Linked DNA regions of Kluyveromyces lactis. The protein of the gene in region 4 interacts with the protein of the main gene of each other region in a pairwise test. Links are inferred from orthologs where the notes say so. Each region holds a gene or a part of one and is shown on either strand. Other genes may lie near its edges. The genes, in order: SSN8, SIP3, RPI1, SNF1 and KLLA0_B00583g.

Evidence for each region.
Region 1: the proteins of SNF1 (region 4) and SSN8 interact in a two-hybrid assay, tested with the Saccharomyces cerevisiae proteins (2 studies listed by BioGRID, with this or other methods). The link is inferred for Kluyveromyces lactis from reciprocal best matches to the Saccharomyces cerevisiae genes SNF1 and SSN8.
Region 2: the proteins of SNF1 (region 4) and SIP3 interact in a two-hybrid assay, tested with the Saccharomyces cerevisiae proteins (2 studies listed by BioGRID). The link is inferred for Kluyveromyces lactis from reciprocal best matches to the Saccharomyces cerevisiae genes SNF1 and SIP3.
Region 3: the proteins of SNF1 (region 4) and RPI1 interact in binary tests that used the Saccharomyces cerevisiae proteins (3 or more experiments, as listed by UniProt). The link is inferred for Kluyveromyces lactis from reciprocal best matches to the Saccharomyces cerevisiae genes SNF1 and REG1.
Region 5: the proteins of SNF1 (region 4) and KLLA0_B00583g interact in binary tests that used the Saccharomyces cerevisiae proteins (3 or more experiments, as listed by UniProt). The link is inferred for Kluyveromyces lactis from reciprocal best matches to the Saccharomyces cerevisiae genes SNF1 and GAL83.

Annotation. Positions count from the first base shown.
Region 1 is NC_006041.1:737,292-740,034, forward strand, and holds SSN8 (cyclin-dependent protein serine/threonine kinase regulator SSN8), read right to left. Parts: upstream 1,435-2,743; coding exon 520-1,434; downstream 1-519. UniProt on the Saccharomyces cerevisiae protein: Component of the SRB8-11 complex. The SRB8-11 complex is a regulatory module of the Mediator complex which is itself involved in regulation of basal and activated RNA polymerase II-dependent transcription.
Region 2 is NC_006039.1:243,697-247,862, forward strand, and holds the start of SIP3 (Sip3p), read right to left. Parts: upstream 2,813-4,166; coding exon 1-2,812. Other genes in the region: TGL2 (triglyceride lipase), read right to left, coding at 3,075-4,166. UniProt on the Saccharomyces cerevisiae protein: May be involved in sterol transfer between intracellular membranes.
Region 3 is NC_006042.1:411,729-415,972, reverse strand, and holds RPI1 (protein phosphatase regulator REG1), read right to left. Parts: upstream 2,814-4,244; coding exon 255-2,813; downstream 1-254. Other genes in the region: KLLA0_F04323g (uncharacterized protein), read right to left, coding at 4,234-4,244. UniProt on the Saccharomyces cerevisiae protein: Involved in RNA processing and negative regulation of glucose repression. Regulates the level of two antigens, P43 and P70. Binds to protein phosphatase type 1. Functions with REG2 and SNF1 protein kinase to regulate growth.
Region 4 is NC_006037.1:338,300-341,777, forward strand, and holds SNF1 (AMP-activated serine/threonine-protein kinase catalytic subunit SNF1), read right to left. Parts: upstream 2,317-3,478; coding exon 508-2,316; downstream 1-507. UniProt on the Saccharomyces cerevisiae protein: Serine/threonine protein kinase essential for release from glucose repression.
Region 5 is NC_006038.1:44,308-47,670, forward strand, and holds KLLA0_B00583g (protein kinase subunit beta), read right to left. Parts: upstream 1,973-3,363; coding exon 512-1,972; downstream 1-511. Other genes in the region: DEAH-box ATP-dependent RNA helicase PRP43, read left to right, coding at 1-280. UniProt on the Saccharomyces cerevisiae protein: Beta subunit of the SNF1 kinase complex, which is required for transcriptional, metabolic, and developmental adaptations in response to glucose limitation.

The DNA.
Region 1 (2,743 bases), on a different chromosome or scaffold from region 4:
AATGACAGACACTCTGCTTCTGCTTCACTAAACTTTTGGACTCGCTTTCTTTTGAACTTGTGCTTCCACTTTTCCTACTTCTACTCTTTATAAATACACGTTAACATTGTTAGTTAAGATTTGATTTCGAGTTTCATGTTTAACTCTCGAAATCATATTGCCGTTCGTTCACTTTTTTTTTTCTTTTCTGCGCATGAATAGCTCTAGATTATTTGGCAGATATCGCTTCGCCAAAGATATTTTTGGTGTTAAAGAGAAATAGAAGTTGCAAATGCAGCTCTTGGAGTGAGGCTTCTACTTGTCCTCTAGTTGACTGTGATTGCGAACTAAATTTTTTTTGTGCGTACAATGTGTATATTTCTCAGTGTCTGCATTTCTGTGATTCTTCCGTGAGTTGTCCAATATAATTTCATTTCGTTCTTATGCGATATATCCTTGATGCGTGGTTGATCTTGAATGCTACGTAATTTGTTATGTATGTACAGGTGTGAACTGAACGAAATCTTTTCGGCTTCAGAATCACTGAATTGCTGGTGTTTGTTGACGGAGGTATAACTCGTGTAGGAGCGCTCTGATCCGCAGTTCATTGTATTTGTCCCAATGGTCGTATAGTGATATGAGTTCTTGAAGGATAAACATCACTTGTTCCAAATTAACTTGAGTTTCAGCGATGAACATGTTGATGTTAGCACGCTTTGTACTGTCCTCTGGCTTGTGAATGATGCAAGACACTGCAAATAGACAACTTATGGCGATCACGTGCGGTGAATAGAGTAAATGGACATCGGTCGTATAACTATCGTTAATCAACGACCATATTTTCTGAAGCTCATCGTCTGAGAGTTTATAGTTGTACTTTTCGGATGATAATGCCTTCTCGATCTGTTCTAGAGACCGGTACGGATGGTGTACAATCAAATATGATTGCAATTCCTCGATTAAATAAAACTCAAACTCGGTCACTTTTGTCACATCCGGTGGAATAAACTCTGGCCATAGAGACCTCGCCTCGTTGACTAGCGTTCTTATATGCTGCGGACATTCTTCCACTTTGCAAGCCAAATAGATGCAGGTGGTGATTAAAAGATACAGGTTCACTTCCCTGACACTAGCTCGAAGCAAAAATCGGCTCAAATAAACATGTGCTGTAACAAGTGCACACTGCCGTATATTGAGCCTCCTGCCCAACTTCATTATAAGGAAATAGCAGTATATCCTCAAATTGTAGTCTCGATCATAATGCAGATCTCGCTGTGTAACCGGAATGTTTGTCGTCACCTGCTTGTTCGCCTTCGAATCGTGAATCGTAACATTCAAACCTTGTGGGAATAATTGGCATTCCAACAGCCAGAGTTTCTGCTTCTCCTTAGCCAAGGATTCCCTAGTATACTTCCACTTGTGCCTCTGACTCGAATCCCAGTATGAGGCGCTCATTTTGGAAAGATAATCTTCTAGCTGTTCAATGAATAAGGGGGGGAAAGGTATTTTTTATCCTCCAGTGAAATTTGTACTGCCTTTTGTTGTCGGAATCCTTTGTTCAAAGTACCTAACCCGATTCGGTTCTTACTACCTTACCGTTCGCTATTCTTCAATTCATCATCAAGTACATTATGATAAGCTGACCGTTGCAGCCCTAAATTTCAGGTCGTTAAGAAGTCGGGTAACCTTTTTGAAAATTTTTTGGAAAAAAGTTAAACATTCAACTATATGAACCAAACATCAGCACTTCAAACACTTACTTTTAATTAAATGTTTTCTAGTGTTGTCTTTTGTTGTTGTTTGTTTCGTAAGTCGAGGGTTTTGTAGTCGAAGAATCGTCACTGATCGAAGCTTACATAAGGAACGGATTTTATCTGTTCAATTGAAATGATATCATTTCTATAGCTTTGGGTAGAAAGTCTCCGACCAGTCCGTAAGCGGAAACGTAATGAGATTTAAAAACTTTTCAAATGTTTAAATCAACTCATTAATCGTGTTGGTTTTCTGTCACGGTTTCTATCCAGAGGCTGTTTTAGAAGCCTCTGTGTCTTGGGTACTGAAGTATTTCTTTACTTTAAACGAAAGTTATGACGATTGCCCGAGCGTTTTTATCTCTTTTTTTGTTACTTCTGTTTACAGGGGTGATTAGGGAGGAGGTAGCTTGGGTAACCCAATGGAGCTTACTTTCTCGGCTCACGAAACTCTCCATCCTTTTTTCAATCATCAAACAGCTTGAAGTGGATTCGTTTCAAATTTATTTTGAACTTTTCGATACTTACGCATAGTCAAATATGCCAAGCTGCCCTGATTATTTATTATTGTATCATTTATTGCCTTGGATTATACTCAGTTGAGTATCCTCTCATATCAAGTGCTACAAGGAAGAATTTCAAAAGATCCAGCCGTCATCTTTCCCTCTTCATTTTAGGATTTTTAACGTGATGAAATAACAATGCAACATAGAGTCAAGCTCTGAGCTTATATAGCATGGACGAGACTTGCTTTTTACAAACGTACTGATCAAATTTCCTTGATGATAAAGAAGAGTTATTGACTGCGGTCTAGAGTAGTACTGTATGTATCTTCTCTGTTTTGATTTTTTCTTGAACGCTGTTAGCACCGCACCATCTAGTATGAGTCCGGCTAACCATTTGCTATGAGTTGTAAACATGTGTAGTACTAGAATCATCTACTTGTTAGTGTGGTTTTCCCATCGAGTAAGTATCTCTTGTATTTCTTTGCTTTCCATTTACGGAACTACTAC
Region 2 (4,166 bases), on a different chromosome or scaffold from region 4:
CATATGTCGATAGAACATGTTTCAAAATTCGCGATTCATTCCCCAAAATCGATAAAACAGTTGCCTTGATGAATTTATCGATATAGTTTAATGATGATACAGGTTTTAATGAGTTTGAATTCACAAAAATAACGTTGTAATAAGTGTATAATGAACAAGATGAACCCGGGGTTTTCCTAATTTTGGTGTTATAGTCATTTTTAGGGTTATCGATTATCACATACTTCGTCTCAATGCAAAATAATTTAGTTAAAGGAAGAGAAAAGAAGCCTGTCTTTTGATCAATCTCATAATAAAAATTCTCAGACGTTTTTGTTAGAGTCTGTAAAATATCCATGTAACTGAAATCGGTGTTCGTCGACCGATGAACTTTATTATCAGAAATAAGTGCTCTGGCTAGTCTTAGACGAAATCTCATCTTCCGTACGAGCTCTTTAGTCTCTGGATTGATGAACCACGCACCTACAGCATCATGTTTGGTCTTCGATCTAGATAAAAACGTACATTCGTGGAAAACTGTTGATTTGTCACCAAACATTAAGTGAGCTAAGGCTCTGCTTGGAACGTGGAAATCCATTCTGAATATTGAATCATGCTCTAACTGGAATTTTTGCTGTCGCTGTCTCATGTTCATCTTGTCTATGTTCAAGCTTCGTACTAATGACATTTCAGGAATTAATGTCTTAGGATTGCTACTCTCTTTTCTAGCGAAAGTTGATTCGATATTGTCAAGCTTAATTATAAGTTGATCAATTCTCAGGTCGCTCTTCTGCAATGTAGTCTCCAATGCTCCCAATATTTTTTCGCTTAAGCAATATGGATCACAGTAGAAGGCCTCGACTACTATTTTCGATTTATTCTTCAAGTCAATTTCCAATTTTCCACTGTCCATCTCAAGTTCATTGGACACTACAGAGACTCCCACAATACTTTTGAAGGAATATTCATTTAAATACACGAATCCCATGAAATTAGTGTAGAAGTATAACATATTCGAAGTGGCAAACATCGTCGAGGGATACCGGCTCACTGAAGAAAAGGAGCATATGCAGGGTTCTTTAAATAGGAGAAGCTCACTGTCGCAAATTTCGATGTTGAGAAAGCCTGTAAAAAGAGTTCTGAAAAGTAAATCATCCGATTTAAGTTTCTCAGGATAGTATGCTGGGTAAGATATTGGGTTCCATGCATTATTATCGATCGGAAATTTGTCGTCTCTTGGATCAGTTAACCTGAAGGAATGACTTGTGGCAGTACAACCCCATATATTTGCTGGTATAGCACCCGAAAGACCTTGATCTTCGGTGAAAGCATTGGAAATAACGGCTAGTTTTGTAGCTTGAGTCATTACGGGGAATCGGAACGTGGGATTTTTGAAAACCCCAAAATCATTGGCAATATTAGGGTTAGCCTGAATAATATTGAGCAGTGAATGTGTCTGGTGTTCAGTAACTGATGTAGTCTGGAAATCAATCTCTGTAATAGATGAACAAGCAAACTCGATGAACAAGGGAGAAACACGGGAAAGGAGCATCGAATACTCAGGAGATTTGTTATCGAGCTTGTATGCCTCTTTTTTTGCGTAACTAAACAGCGTCAGCCATGAACTGAGTTCCTCAAGTGTTTCTGCCTGAAGAGTGAGGATTATGTCTTGCGATTCTGCAGTCTCATCCTTATTTATGATCCTCAAGTCAAAACAATATCTCCGGTCTTCGTGTGGATTGTAGTTGCAGGAAATTAATAAAACTCCGAATTTATCGCTTTCTTCAACAAATGTTTTTGAAGGTGATAGCATTAGCATACCAAACATTCCCCTTTCTAAAAAACACCATCGCTTTAGCCAGGTGAATCTTCCGCTTGCTTTTATTTTGGTTTTCACGTATAACCAACCAGACTTCTTATTTTCTGAAGGTTTCGTGTTCTTGATAAGTGCTGCGCTGTTGATATTTGTGATATCATATGTTCTTAAATCTTTTGATGGTTCAAAAGATGTTTCGCAATACTCGCATATCTGACTTTTTAGCTTTTGAAGATGTTCTGTGGAATTATCCAAGCAAATTGAAAGAGCTTGAGTCCATTTCCTGTAACGACTGAATTCTAATTCAAGCTCGTCTGATATATTGATACTGTACTTTGCATTTTTATTTTGAGCAGTTGAAGGAATTGTTGATGCTATCATCTTTGAGATCAATTCATCAAGTTTTATCTGGATAGTTCCTATACTCCATAATAAGTCAAAAGAAGCGTCCCGATATAGTTTTCTAATATCAAAGAGTTCTATCGCCTTCTCTCGGATGGATTCCGTATTCATCAAAGCTGATATCTTTAGTTCATGGTAGTTTTTATTTAACATGTCATATCTTCCTTGGTAATAATCAAAATTCTCCCTTACTTCCTTATAAGGCTTGACTACTTTCACCAAGATATCAAGATATGTTGAAAGGTATGTTTCAGGATTACCGTACATCAATGACGATATGCTAGATGCAAATGTTTTCAAGGCTAATTGAAACTCATTTACCATTGCTGGTGTATATGCTTGATTCTCAACTAAACCGTTATTCAAATACGGAAGAGGTGGGAGCAGTCTATCAATCATAGAGTCTTCATCTTTATTGAGTTCTGCGAGCCCTGATAAAGCCTGGTTCTTAGATAAATTCGTATTCTCTTGAATCCAGTTTTCCAAGGCAAGTACTTGCATATGGAAATGGTTGGCACTAGTTCTAAAGGATGGAGTATCTATTGAGGCTTCTTTGTAAGCCAAAGCTGTAAGCCTTGTCAGTTTGTCATTTCTTCTAGTTTCATATGCAGTCATAACTTTCGCAATAGGTTAGGGATGCCGCCTCGTTGTCCTGGTTTGTTTTGCTCTTAATCGTCAATCCATCAAATCTTACGCTTATATACTTTAAATATCTCTTTAAATATAATCTTTTTACAGAAACAAGTGACTTTGCTAACATAAAAGATCCAAAAAAAAACATACATACGAAACTCTGTTCACATTAATTCATTAGGTTTATTTAAGCAGTATGCTTGATTCGGTTCAGGTTGATGCTAATTAGACATTTTGTATGTAGCTAAAATCCTAAGTTGGCAAGGTTCTCTGTGACTTTAAGGTAAAAATGCAAAATGTCAATATCAGGGTTTTGAGGTTTCTTCAAAGTACCTTGCAGACGATATTGAAACTCTTTCTGTAATCGATTTTTCCAGTTTATTAAATCAGAGTGATCGACGTTCTCAAGCGTCCCCAAATAACGGCCCCATCTTGCACTTTGTATGCTTACCATTCCATCGTTAGGTACTCCGCCAGATAAATTTGATATCACGCACCATGACATATAAAACATGTTATACCATCGCGGTTTGAAACAGGCGCCATAACTGAAGTAAGCTACGCTAGGGTCATCCGGCGTTATTTTATTGAAATGTGAGCAATAGGTTGTCGTCAATTGGTAAAAAGCTGGAGGTAACAGCTTCTTTTTAGTATTGACATCAAAAGTTTGTGTCATATCACTGAATAGTCCTACCACATAATCAGCCATTTCAGAGCCATGGTGTGGCGTAGAAATCGTAGTTAGGCTGCAAACTTCGAAATTTTTATTCGGTATATGGGAGATGAGGTATCTACAATCCAATCCACCCATAGAATGTGCTATAAGGTTGACCTTAATCTTGTCTTCCTTTTTGAAAGATTTCGAGTTAACCTCATTAGTGTTGTATACGTCTCCTTTGGCTAAAGTCCTTTTGACTTTGCCCAATTCTGTATCAATGAAGGAATTTAATACCTTTGCTCTTTCTTCAATGCTACCGAAGCTTGGTACTTTGGCGGTAATTACAGTACAACCTCTTGCCTCCAAAGCTTCCCGAACCCCTATCCAGTAATCAACGTGTACTAAGGCGTCAGACTGAATGTCTTTGTCATCGTCTTCTTGCATAAATGAGTCTGAATGGTTGGATAGTATGCTAGCTTTGATCATTTTCGTTAACTGGAAAATCGAAGGTATCAATATCAGTTTATCGAAGCCAGAGAGTCCATGACATAATACAATCGGATATTTCGGGGCTTTGTATTGTTCTATTGGTGGTATACTCTTGATGACTCTATCTTTTACCAATCCTTCATCTTTCGCCTTCGAAAGAGGTATAAGTTCTTTCAGGAAGCTGAATCT
Region 3 (4,244 bases), on a different chromosome or scaffold from region 4:
CATGGTAGTTTGAGTATATAATTAAGCGCACTCTCTCAACATAAATAAAACACCGTAGCAAGTTAATCAATAGAAGCATTAAGCGCTGAGCGAGAGATCTACGCAGATGGATAAAACCAAGAAAAATTGTTGTTCTTCTAATTAATACTATTTACGTAGTGAAAAAAAAATATATATGCTGGTAGAGTGGTATTTTTAAGTTTAACCTCAATAAAAAAAATGAACTCCGAATATACCTAAGAGCACTTGAGCGATCACTCAGAATCAGAATCAGATCCAAATAAAAAGCTACCCGATGAAGGAGATTTTAATGGTGGTCTTCTTACCGTCGAATTGTGTTGAGATAAAGGTTCTCCAGTGATGAAGCTATGTGTCTGTTTTAAAACAGGAGATGCAGAATTGGAAGGTGTGATAAAATCATGAATGGAATTTGCTCTAGACTTCCCTATAGATGAGGTTCGCCTTAATGATAGTGGGTCTTTTGCAGTAAGCTCTAGTTCTTCACCGTTATCGTCATGCTCTTCGTCATCATGACTGAAACCAGGTTGGGAAGAATCTGCGATGAATTCGTTGTCCGGATGTTCATCGTTATCATCTTGTACCGGAAGGCTTTGATGGTATGTATATATTTTCCCTCTTGAGTCATCATCCATATATCCGTCATTCGCGTCCTGTATTGGAGTATCTAATCCAATGCCATCCGGTACATCGAGGATATCACACGAATTGTCCACAGTTACAAAGTTGGATGTATCCCCCGTGTAAACGGAATTATAATCATACATGTAGTCAAATCCTCTGCTAGTATTCACATTGTGTGATACTGCGTTACCATAATACCATTCATTTTCGTCTTCATCATAATATTCATCGTCAGATCCGTAGTTTAGAGTAGTGGCTGGAAGTGGTTTAATAGTTGCGTTTGGAAATTTGGATAGTGAGAGTGATCTTAAAGAATTTGCAACATCTGTGCCATCACTAGCCCCCGAATTGGTTCGATTTTTTCTAGTATGTGCACTGATAAATAACCCATCATCTTCGTCATCTTCGTCGTCATCTTCATCATAATCGTAGCTGTCAGCGTCTTCATCATCTTCGTCATCGGCGTAATCTTCGACGCTGTTGGCCCCTGAATTTCTATATCCATCGTCAAAGTCAGAATACTGATGCGAAGATCTGGCACCGTCCGACATATCGTCAGAGTGGTAATCGGTATTTGTCATTGGGACTTCGTCATCATTAGGATTAGCGTCTATGGGGTTATGATTAACCGCAATACATTGTTCGACACGGTCATTGAAATGAATATGTCTTTCCCTTTTTTGCTTTTGCTTCATCGATGATGTAAGAATCGATGATAATATGGGAGGATCAGATCTTGCGGATGGGGTTTCTATCACAGAGCCAGAGATTGGACCTGGAGTGGTATTTACTATCGACGAGTTTGTTTCGGTCACAACGGGCGAAATAGATTCCACCGATTCATCAGGCGGTGTATGGATATTTTTGTAATATTGTGCATTCACCTTCGCGGCAATAGCATCATAATCGTCATGCGTTGTCTGACTTGACTGCGGATCCAAAATAGCATGCAAGTCACTAGTTTGCTTTCTGTGCTGCCTTGCTATATCTAATCTCCATTTGGAGTTTTCCTCGATAATTTCACTAACAGTTCTCTTCTTTAGAATAGGTTTAGGACCGGGACTCTGAGACTTTTGGATCAACCTTTTTGAATTTTCATCATCGGAACCATACCCCATGGTGGCCGCATGATTGTTTCCTATTTCAACGTTGGAAGTGGGCTTTGATGACGACGTCGAGTTATTTTGATCGCCCACTACAATCGGACCGTATAACCAAGTTACATCAGAATCCTTTGACCAGTTCAAAGATTCTGGATTCACAGTTTTCAGATTATTTCTAGCCTTTGACCAAGTTCTCCAGGAAGCATTTTCCAACCTTGCAGCATTGATTAAATCTGTGTCCTTCCGTTTCTTTTTCAAAATGATATAACGCCATGACTGAGATATTTCGTTTTCGTTCCATTTATGAGATAAGTAATCCACATGTCTATTGGGTTCATACATCAAGTCGTTGTCATCATGATGAATTAGGAAATCGTCAGTACCCGGGTCTGGAGGAGAATTAGAATCTTCTACATCTTTGTAGTCGTAGTCGTAATCGTAATCTGCTTCGTAGTCATCGTCGTAGTTATCGACTTGCATGTTTTCGTCTGTGTAGTCTTCGTCGGTTCCGCCAACAGTTGTATTGTGTTTATTCAGCCCGGTGTCATTAAGCGTAGTATCATTACCGTCGTTATCGTCATTATAAGAAGTATTATTACTGTTTTTATTGATATTATCAGTTTTGTTTTCGTTGTCGTTGTTGTTGTTGTTGTTGTTGTTGTTGTTGTTGTTGTTGTTGTTGTTAATATTATTCATGCTCCCGCTACTGTCACCACTATTGAGGTCGTTACTCAAGCCATCGATGTTACTGTTAGAGAAGTTATCGGAATCAACAGAGCTCGAACCTGCCAGAAGTTTCTGAGTATCGTCGATGTATGGATCCAACAGTCCCATGGATCGTGTTCTTTTCAAATTGAACGTAGAATTCTTGAAATGGTCGTCGTCATCAGCATGAACCGCCATAGACACAGAAGGACCCATATCGTCGTAATTTGGGACTTGTTTATTTACACTGCTTGTTCCGTATTCATCATTCGATGAGCTTCTGTTCAATGCGACTCTACCCGGGGTAGCATTCCCCTGAGAAGCATTCCCCTGAGCAAAATACGCCGCTAAATTATTCTGCATAATGCAAAGCGTGCTGTGTTTATCTGGTAAAACCTTCTGAATATTATACTCTGCTGTCTTGTTCAACCGCGTGTGTATCACGCAGTAAAAAAGCTAGGTTGAATTATATCAAGTAAGCTCTGCTTGGATGGTAGAAGGTGATTCCTGCGATCCAAAAAAATTAATGGAATAATAAAATAAAATAAAACTGAGAACCAGACAACGAAAGAAGCCTAGGGTATCAAGCGTTATCAGACGCTATCCTTCAGTCCAACAGTAGTATAGTGAGAAATCTGATTTTGCCTAATGAAAGTAGACCAAATAGAAAAATCACACTATCGTTTAACTCTCCTTTATACCACAAATCGCTTCAGGAAAAATAAAGGACTCTCTCTCTGTTAAAGCAGATTGTAACTATCACTGAAAATGCTTAGCACAAAACAAAAATCGTCGAACGAGGCAATCAGAATACACACTTAAACCTGCTCTTCTTCCTATTCCCCCAAACCTTTACATTCTATATGTTCTATATGTTCTATATGTTCTTTGTTCTTTTTAAAAAGTGGATTTGAAAGCTCAAACCAAAGTCCAAAAGAAAAGGAAACCAAACTAAATTCCCAAAAAGAAAAACGAAAACAGAATAATGAGTACCGCTTGCCAGTATTGTTCAATAGAAAAGATCGAAAAGGAGGCAAAATTTGTCTATGACGCTTTGGTGCTTACGTCTTACAACAGACCGTGTTTAGACATGTAAGTAAAGTTACAGGGTAATAGAGTATAAACCGATCCTAGTATGGCGGACGCTATATTCTGTTGTGTTTGAATTTATTAATTTACTGAGGAAATACAACTCCTAGCTTTTTTTAATGGAGCTGGTTTCCAAGTTAATTATTCATTTCAATTTTTGGAAATTCTAACTTCCCAAGTTATACATGTATAGCGAGAAAAGAAAATCGCACGGTAGCGGAGCGTTTTGAGTTTGTCGAAGATGAAACGGGAACTGGAACATTTCAGTTGGCCCAGGGGCCAACTAAATTTCAAGGGATTATCCGTTGTTTAGCAGGACAAATTTTTTTTTTTTTTTGTTCATTTTTGTCACTTTGGTCAGTTCTGGATTTTACATGAGTTCTACCTTGATCTATACCATACACTGATTCAGTCAATAGTGGTGTCATCGATTCTTGTCATATGTCGAGACACATTATATAGTCATCTTGCATGATCGGAGCGGGCATCTACTCTCTTTTTATTAAATTTGACAGTACCAGTTACCGTGAATGTCAGTAGGATACATGTTATATAAGCCGAAAAGCTTGCCAGAAGACCTGCCAGAAAACTTCGGATTGATATTTTTTTTCTAGTACTCTGGCACGGTGCAAAGCACATGCTGGATCTGCCAAATCTTACTGTTATGTATCATATAGAGAGAGTATTTTGTATTCTAAAACTTTT
Region 4 (3,478 bases):
GATAGTCTCATGAGCCACTCGTCATGCGCAGCTTCTGCCTATTCCAATTTCACTAAATATTGTCACGTGACCCTCTTTGATCCATCTAGGCCTTCCCTTCTGGATACCACAGGATCCATATGCCCAGTCACTGACGTCTTGGAACTCTGCCGTGTGCTGGCTAGCTCACATGACCCTTCGTCTGGCCTGTCTTCAGTCTATCTTACGAAAACTACAACAAAGTAGCATCGGTGGTTTAGTGGTAAAATCCAACGTTGCCATCGTTGGGCCCCGGGTTCGATTCCCGGCCGATGCATTCTTTTTTCATGTGTCAAAAACATGTATGTTGTTTTCCTCTTCTTCCCGGCGAGTGTTGTGAGCTAAGAGTAATTTCTCATATAATATAGTGATTGTCATTATTTAATGATATGTATATAAGGCTTAAACTTTAAGCAAATATTCAAACTTATATACACTCTTCGTTGGATATTATCCGTTAGTATTTTTTTAATTTCATGAACCTTAAAATCAACTTCCTTGGCTATTCACTGCAAGTTCCATAATCAGCCTGGTTGCTAAATGTAGAAAGGGGTATGCACTGAACGTACTCATTTCATCGTCGTTCCGACTTGAATACACTACACCGTTACTGGACTCCCAGCCATCAAATTTGAAATCCACTAAGTAGTTATTTGTCTCAATTTGGAACAATTGGATTACCATCTTCATTAAATCTGGAATCTGCTTGTTCTTCATTTCGTCATCAGGCATATCGATATTATATCTCCAACGGACTCTAATAGTCCATAGGTCCTCTTCTGATGGTTTCGCCCATTCGGCTCCCAAGTTTTTCAATGCAATGTATATTTCTCCCATAACGTCTAATGGATAGGATCTTGATCGTATACCGAAATGCCACCTTGTTTTTGATTTTTTCACGCTTAATGGTGAAATCTTAGCAGCAGCCTGGGACCCTTGTGCTACCATGTTGGCTCTATGGATCTGTGGTAACGAGCTAGGTAAAATTGCAATCGTGCTGTCTCCATCCTGAGAACCATTTCCATAATGATATTGATATGTACGTTGCTGTGTTCTCTTTGAATGGCGGTGTGAGTGTCGATTTTTTGAGCCCGGGGGGGCATGCAAGGATTGTTCGAAAGTGGGTGGAGATTGCGATAAGAAAGTATCCAAGTCATTAGATTGTTGCTTGTTCACCTTGATGTCGTTGATTAAATTTCTGTTCTCTTTAATTAACTGATAGGCATCCCTGATTTCATTTAAAGATGGATGATCTTCATCGGACTCTAAAGCCTCATATATCTCATCTACGTCATAACCCATAGTGTTTGATAGCGTTTGAACTAACGAATCATCGATCAGTTCGAGTGGCACGGATGGGCCGCCATCTTCTGTTTTGCTTTCAGAGTTTTCTTGATGGGTGCTTTCAGCAGGAACTAGGTAGTCGGGTAAATCAACTTTGAACCATTCATCCTGCATGATTTCATGCACGGTAATTCTATTAACTGGATTGACGATGAGCATCTTTTTGATTAAGCTCGCAGCACCTTGGGAAAGGAAGTTAGGTATGGTGTAAACACCATTGCTAATGTTCTTAAACAACACTGGGATACTTTCGTCATCGAATGGTAACCTACGACACAACATGACGTATAAGATAACCCCTGAAGACCAAACGTCAACCTCTGGACCTGCATATAGTTTACCGCTGATGACTTCTGGGGCCGCATAATTTGGAGAACCACATGAAGTCTTCAAAAAGTTACCATCTGTCATTATATTAGATAAACCAAAATCAGCAATCTTAACGTTCAAATGTTCGTCTAATAGTAAATTCTCTGGTTTCAAATCTCTATGCACAATTTTATGACGGTGACAATAATCTACTGCGCTAATAATCTGTTGGAAAAATCTTCTTGCTTCTTGTTCAGGCATCTTGTCTCTTTGGACAATATAATCAAATAATTCATTACCAGCATACTCAATCACCATGATAATTTCGTCCTTCGATTTGATCACGTCATACAATTTGATAATGTGTGGATGTCTCAACAAACGTAAGTACGAAATCTCTCTCTCGATTCTACCTTGCATATCACTCTTGGCTAGAACCTTCTTATTGATGATTTTTAATGCCACTTTTTGTCCCGTAGAGATATGGTACGCCAGTTTCACTTTACCAAATGATCCTTCACCCAAGGTCTTGATGATTTGATACTTACCGATATGTTGGCCTTGTGCGTGGTTAGTCAGCTGGCGTTGGTGATGGCCTTGACCTGAGCCACCATGCGGCTGTTGTTGATTTGGGTCGTGCGACATATCTTCTCTGATGAGTATGTACTCGTAAATGCTTCACTAAGAGTTTGCGTTCAACAGAGGGATATCTTGTTTACTCTGAGAATAGTTGCTTCTAATTGAGAAGTTGACTAACTTGTTAGAAAACTTGCAATTCTTATACTAGTGTGACGTTTCTGGAGTCTCACAAAACCCAATTCTATCCGCCCTACAATTACGCATTGATCCTTCTTTTATTGTTGATGTTCCGTATATGACAAGTTTTCAATTTTATCATCAAAATGTAAACGGCGTAGAAATCGTTGATGATGACTGATACCTTATGTAGGAGACCGTACTGGGACGAGTCCGGCGAATTGACCATTTTCAGTCACCAATCCTGTCACGTTTTACGAGAGGATTCAGACAATTCACGAATCCATTCTTCACTACGTCAATATGCTATGACACTACATTAAAGTACATCACCACTCGATAAGTGGCTATTATATACGAACCAAGATGTATATATTACATCTTTAATCTTCCCCAATTACTCTTTTATAATTAGGAATAACGTTAATATCGTATTTTCCTCATTATAAACTGGTGATTCCAAAATTCTGCTATCTATGTATTAGTTTCAATCACTACTGTCACTGGAGTAAATATCGATGACTGCGGCAGGATCGTAGAATGATTGTTGGCTAAAATTTGAATGCTCCATATCGTCCTCGTCATCCGTCCAAGAGTCCGTTGCAATATGTTCAGTCACAGGCATCTTTGAGCCCAAATTGAAACACATCAAGCGATTCCTTACTATCATTGTGCTTTTTAAATTGGAACTAGCAAGAGAAAATCTATCATCTAAAACACGCTTACTGATTGAGAAGCTCCTTTCGACGTCAGCAGTTGAGAGCTTAGTGTGGTAAAAGGCAAGAGCCAGACTGCACAATGCAGGAAATCTTGATTGGTTTTCAAGCCAATAGCTCAAAAAATCCTTCTCTTTCTCCAATGGTTCCCCCAAGTATATCTGCCACTCATCCTTAGGCGCAAAATGGAATTCTGAAATGTTTCTATCCAGATATGCAGATAGGTTTTTTAATAATTTTGGCTTCTTAACACGATTGATATTCAATGGTTCAGTTGGTTTATTGTGCGAGCGAATATCGGAAGTTTCAGTAAATCGTTTGCAGTAACTGACAAC
Region 5 (3,363 bases), on a different chromosome or scaffold from region 4:
CCAAGATGTTTTGATACATCCTTCAACTGTTTTGGGCCATGATGCCGAATGGGTTGTATACAATGAATTCGTTCTAACCTCCAAAAACTACATTAGAACTGTAACATCAGTTAGACCTGAATGGTTAATAGAATTAGCACCAGCTTATTATGACCTCGATCACTTCCAAAAAGGTGACATTAAACTATCGTTAGAAAGGGTAAAGCAAAAGCTCGATAAAATGGTGGAGCTACAACAAGAAAAAAAAAAAAGTGCGAAATCTAAAAAGTCTAAGAAATAACCAAGCATATAGATGTGTAACTTATATAATAAGATTAACCTTAGAATCAGCATGATAAGTCTTATTGTAGAAGTATTGTGCGGTATTATTAGCACGCGACTCAAAGTCTACGTTTTTTTTGCTGCATTTTATTGAAATTCGGTATGGTGTACGTTTTATATTCAACCCATAAGAACTTCGCTTATGATATTTCAGTGTAAAAAATATAAAATCAAATCTCTAGGAGTGGTTTCATTGCAATGGCGCATATAGTATCTGTGTTGCATATTTTCTTTTGTATCTAACGATGCTAGCAACACATAAAGTATTATGTTTAATAGAAGACGTTGCTAAATGATTAAGAACGACGTGGTTAGGAATTGGCAACGCACCTGAATTATTTTCACTACCTGGTTCAGCATTTTTGTTGTAATTATTGAGAATAACATTCTCCAACTGAGGTGGAAGTTGTGGAGGAGTTAACCATGACATATTTTGTTGATTGTTCTGTTGCTGGTCTAATGTGAGATAATACTGTTCCATCACCGAAGGATCTGTAAAGACAGCAGGGATATCCTGAGTATACTCATAATCGGTCTTTAGCTGTTGTTCCTCTTTGAAACGGGTGTATCCGTTTCCCATATCATCAGGGTCTTCTTCAATATGCAAAGCAAGCTGGGATCTGGCACTTAATTTGCCATCTTTACTTTGAGATGGTTGCCTTCTAACCTGTGACTGGATGGTTTGATCGCGAATTTTCTGAGATTGAGAAACATTATCTGAGAGTTGTTGATTTTGCATATTTTGCTTTTGCTGTGTCTGTTGTTGGGCATCCAGTTCATAATTCATCATTTGCATCGACTCAGGTGGAACAATTTCAAGATAATTAACAAAATTACCCATCTGATCAGTTGCAGTGGGAAGAAAGTCGCTGAACCGGAGTTCATTATCAACGATGAATCTAAATCTGTGAGTACCGGGAGGTAATTGTAACTTGATATGGAAAACTCCAGGTTTGTCAGTAACAGGTACAAGGCCAATCATCTTACGCCAGCCAGTGAAGGAACCTGTTACATAGACCTTGGAACCGCCTTGTTGCCACGTTATCTCAACAGGAACCATGGTAGGTCTACGTTCAGGTACCGGTTGCGTCTGCTGATTAATAGCAGGGCCTGGATGTTGTACGTTCCCATCGTAATGATTTCCTGAAACTTTGTTGGCATGTTGTTCTTGAGAGTTGTTAGTGTATGCTGAATTTTGATGTCTTCCATCTTCGCTGTGTGAACTGGCAGCTGGCGAATCTGCTGAAAGCGAGGATGCAGATCCATCAGAGGGTCCTGTTATGATATTATTCACAACATCCTCATCCTCATCTTCATTGTCAGTGATGATTCTTCCGTCGTCGTAATTATTCTGGTGTTCAATGTGCTTATGCTGATTCGAAATATCATCGAAGTCGTCATTAAATATCAACGTGGATTTTCTGGATGAAAGCTGTGGTGTTAACTCATTTCTGTCATCAATGTTCATTTGTGATAGAGATTGGGTAAGGTTCGAGGATGCTCCTGGGGTTTCGACCTTATTTGAAGTGTCATCCTGTCTTTCATTCATAGCTTCATTGATGTCAACCATAGAGACATCTTTAACGTTCTGAGACATAGTTGATGGATGTTTGTGATGTGGTCTGTTGGAATGACTGGGTAAATTCCCCATTAAGTTCTTCAGGTAGTCTCTTGGTACTTTTGAACGTTTTCCTCTATGCTACCTCCGCCAAATAGTTACCAAATGTGCCGTCGGTGCTACTTTATGCATTATTTGAACTTTCAGAAACAATGTTGTTATCTGGGGATTTCGATATATATATATATATTATGTGTTTTCTTGATTGATCAATTTGCAGAAATTCGAAAAAGGACAAAATAAACAGATGGAAACTTCGTTCACGTGACATGAAACAGAGGGTAAAGGACCTTATCGGTACGAAATCTATAGTGCCGAGAAAGGCACAGTTCTTCTCCATAGTTGGAAAGTCTATCAATTCTATCTCATGATGAGAATTTGCATAAGTATATAAGGTTTATAAAAGTTCTCATCCTTCAACTAAGAGGGTATTTTGGAATAACTAACAATATTGTCTATCAACGTCATTGTTGAATTTATCTAGTGTTTTCAATTCTTAGGGTTGAGTAGTGATGATATAGATAAGTAGCTGCAGTTCTTTCTCTCCTCGAGGTTTGTATCGTGGGGTTGTAAGTCCTGTAATGAGTTGCTTTTTCGTATTGGGGTCATTCCTTGAAGTGCACTCAAGGCTGTTAACAGATTCTTGCTTGACATGGTGTGTAGGTAGTGGTCTTCATGAGCACCTGATGACGAAGCTACCAGGTTTGGTGAGTTTGTTAGGCTACTTAGCCTCGACGAGCTCATGTCGCTGTGTTCCGTGAAAATAGTGTTCACCAAGCTGCTACTGGAATTCTGAGATATTGGAGCAAACTGGGCTGGTTTTTCCACGTCTAAGTACATTGAAGTTTGTAAATGATATGGCACAGGGATCATAGCAGGTAGAGTTGGCTGTGGGGCTATAAGTTTATCGGTATTATTAACTGGAATACCCTGTTCATTCATTTGAGCTAGATTTACCTGACTGGATGATCTGGATTTAGGTCTAATGGTTCTTGGCTTTCTTTTTCTTGATTTGAAATGTGTTTTGATGTGTCTCTTTAATTCGTCATTTCGGCTAAATCGCTTGGGACAACCAGGAACCGTGCATGCGAAAGGCTTTTCTCCTGTGTGTGTTCGTATATGCCTTGTCTTGTGTTCCAACCTATGGAATCTGTTCCCACAAATTTCACATAAATATGGTCTGTCGTTGCACTCTTTTGGTGTTGACATGTTAATTTGTTTGTTATGTTTTGTGATTTATTGTTATTTTGGACTTTATTGGTGGATATTGTATCGTATAACTGGCTAGTAGTTCACTCTGTGATGGATCTTCTCTTTCCTGATAAGGCTTTTGAAAGGATTATGTTTCACATTTAAGTTAATAGGAACTAAACGATTCAGGAAAGAGACGAAAGAAAGATAGTGGGGGGAAGACATGACAAATC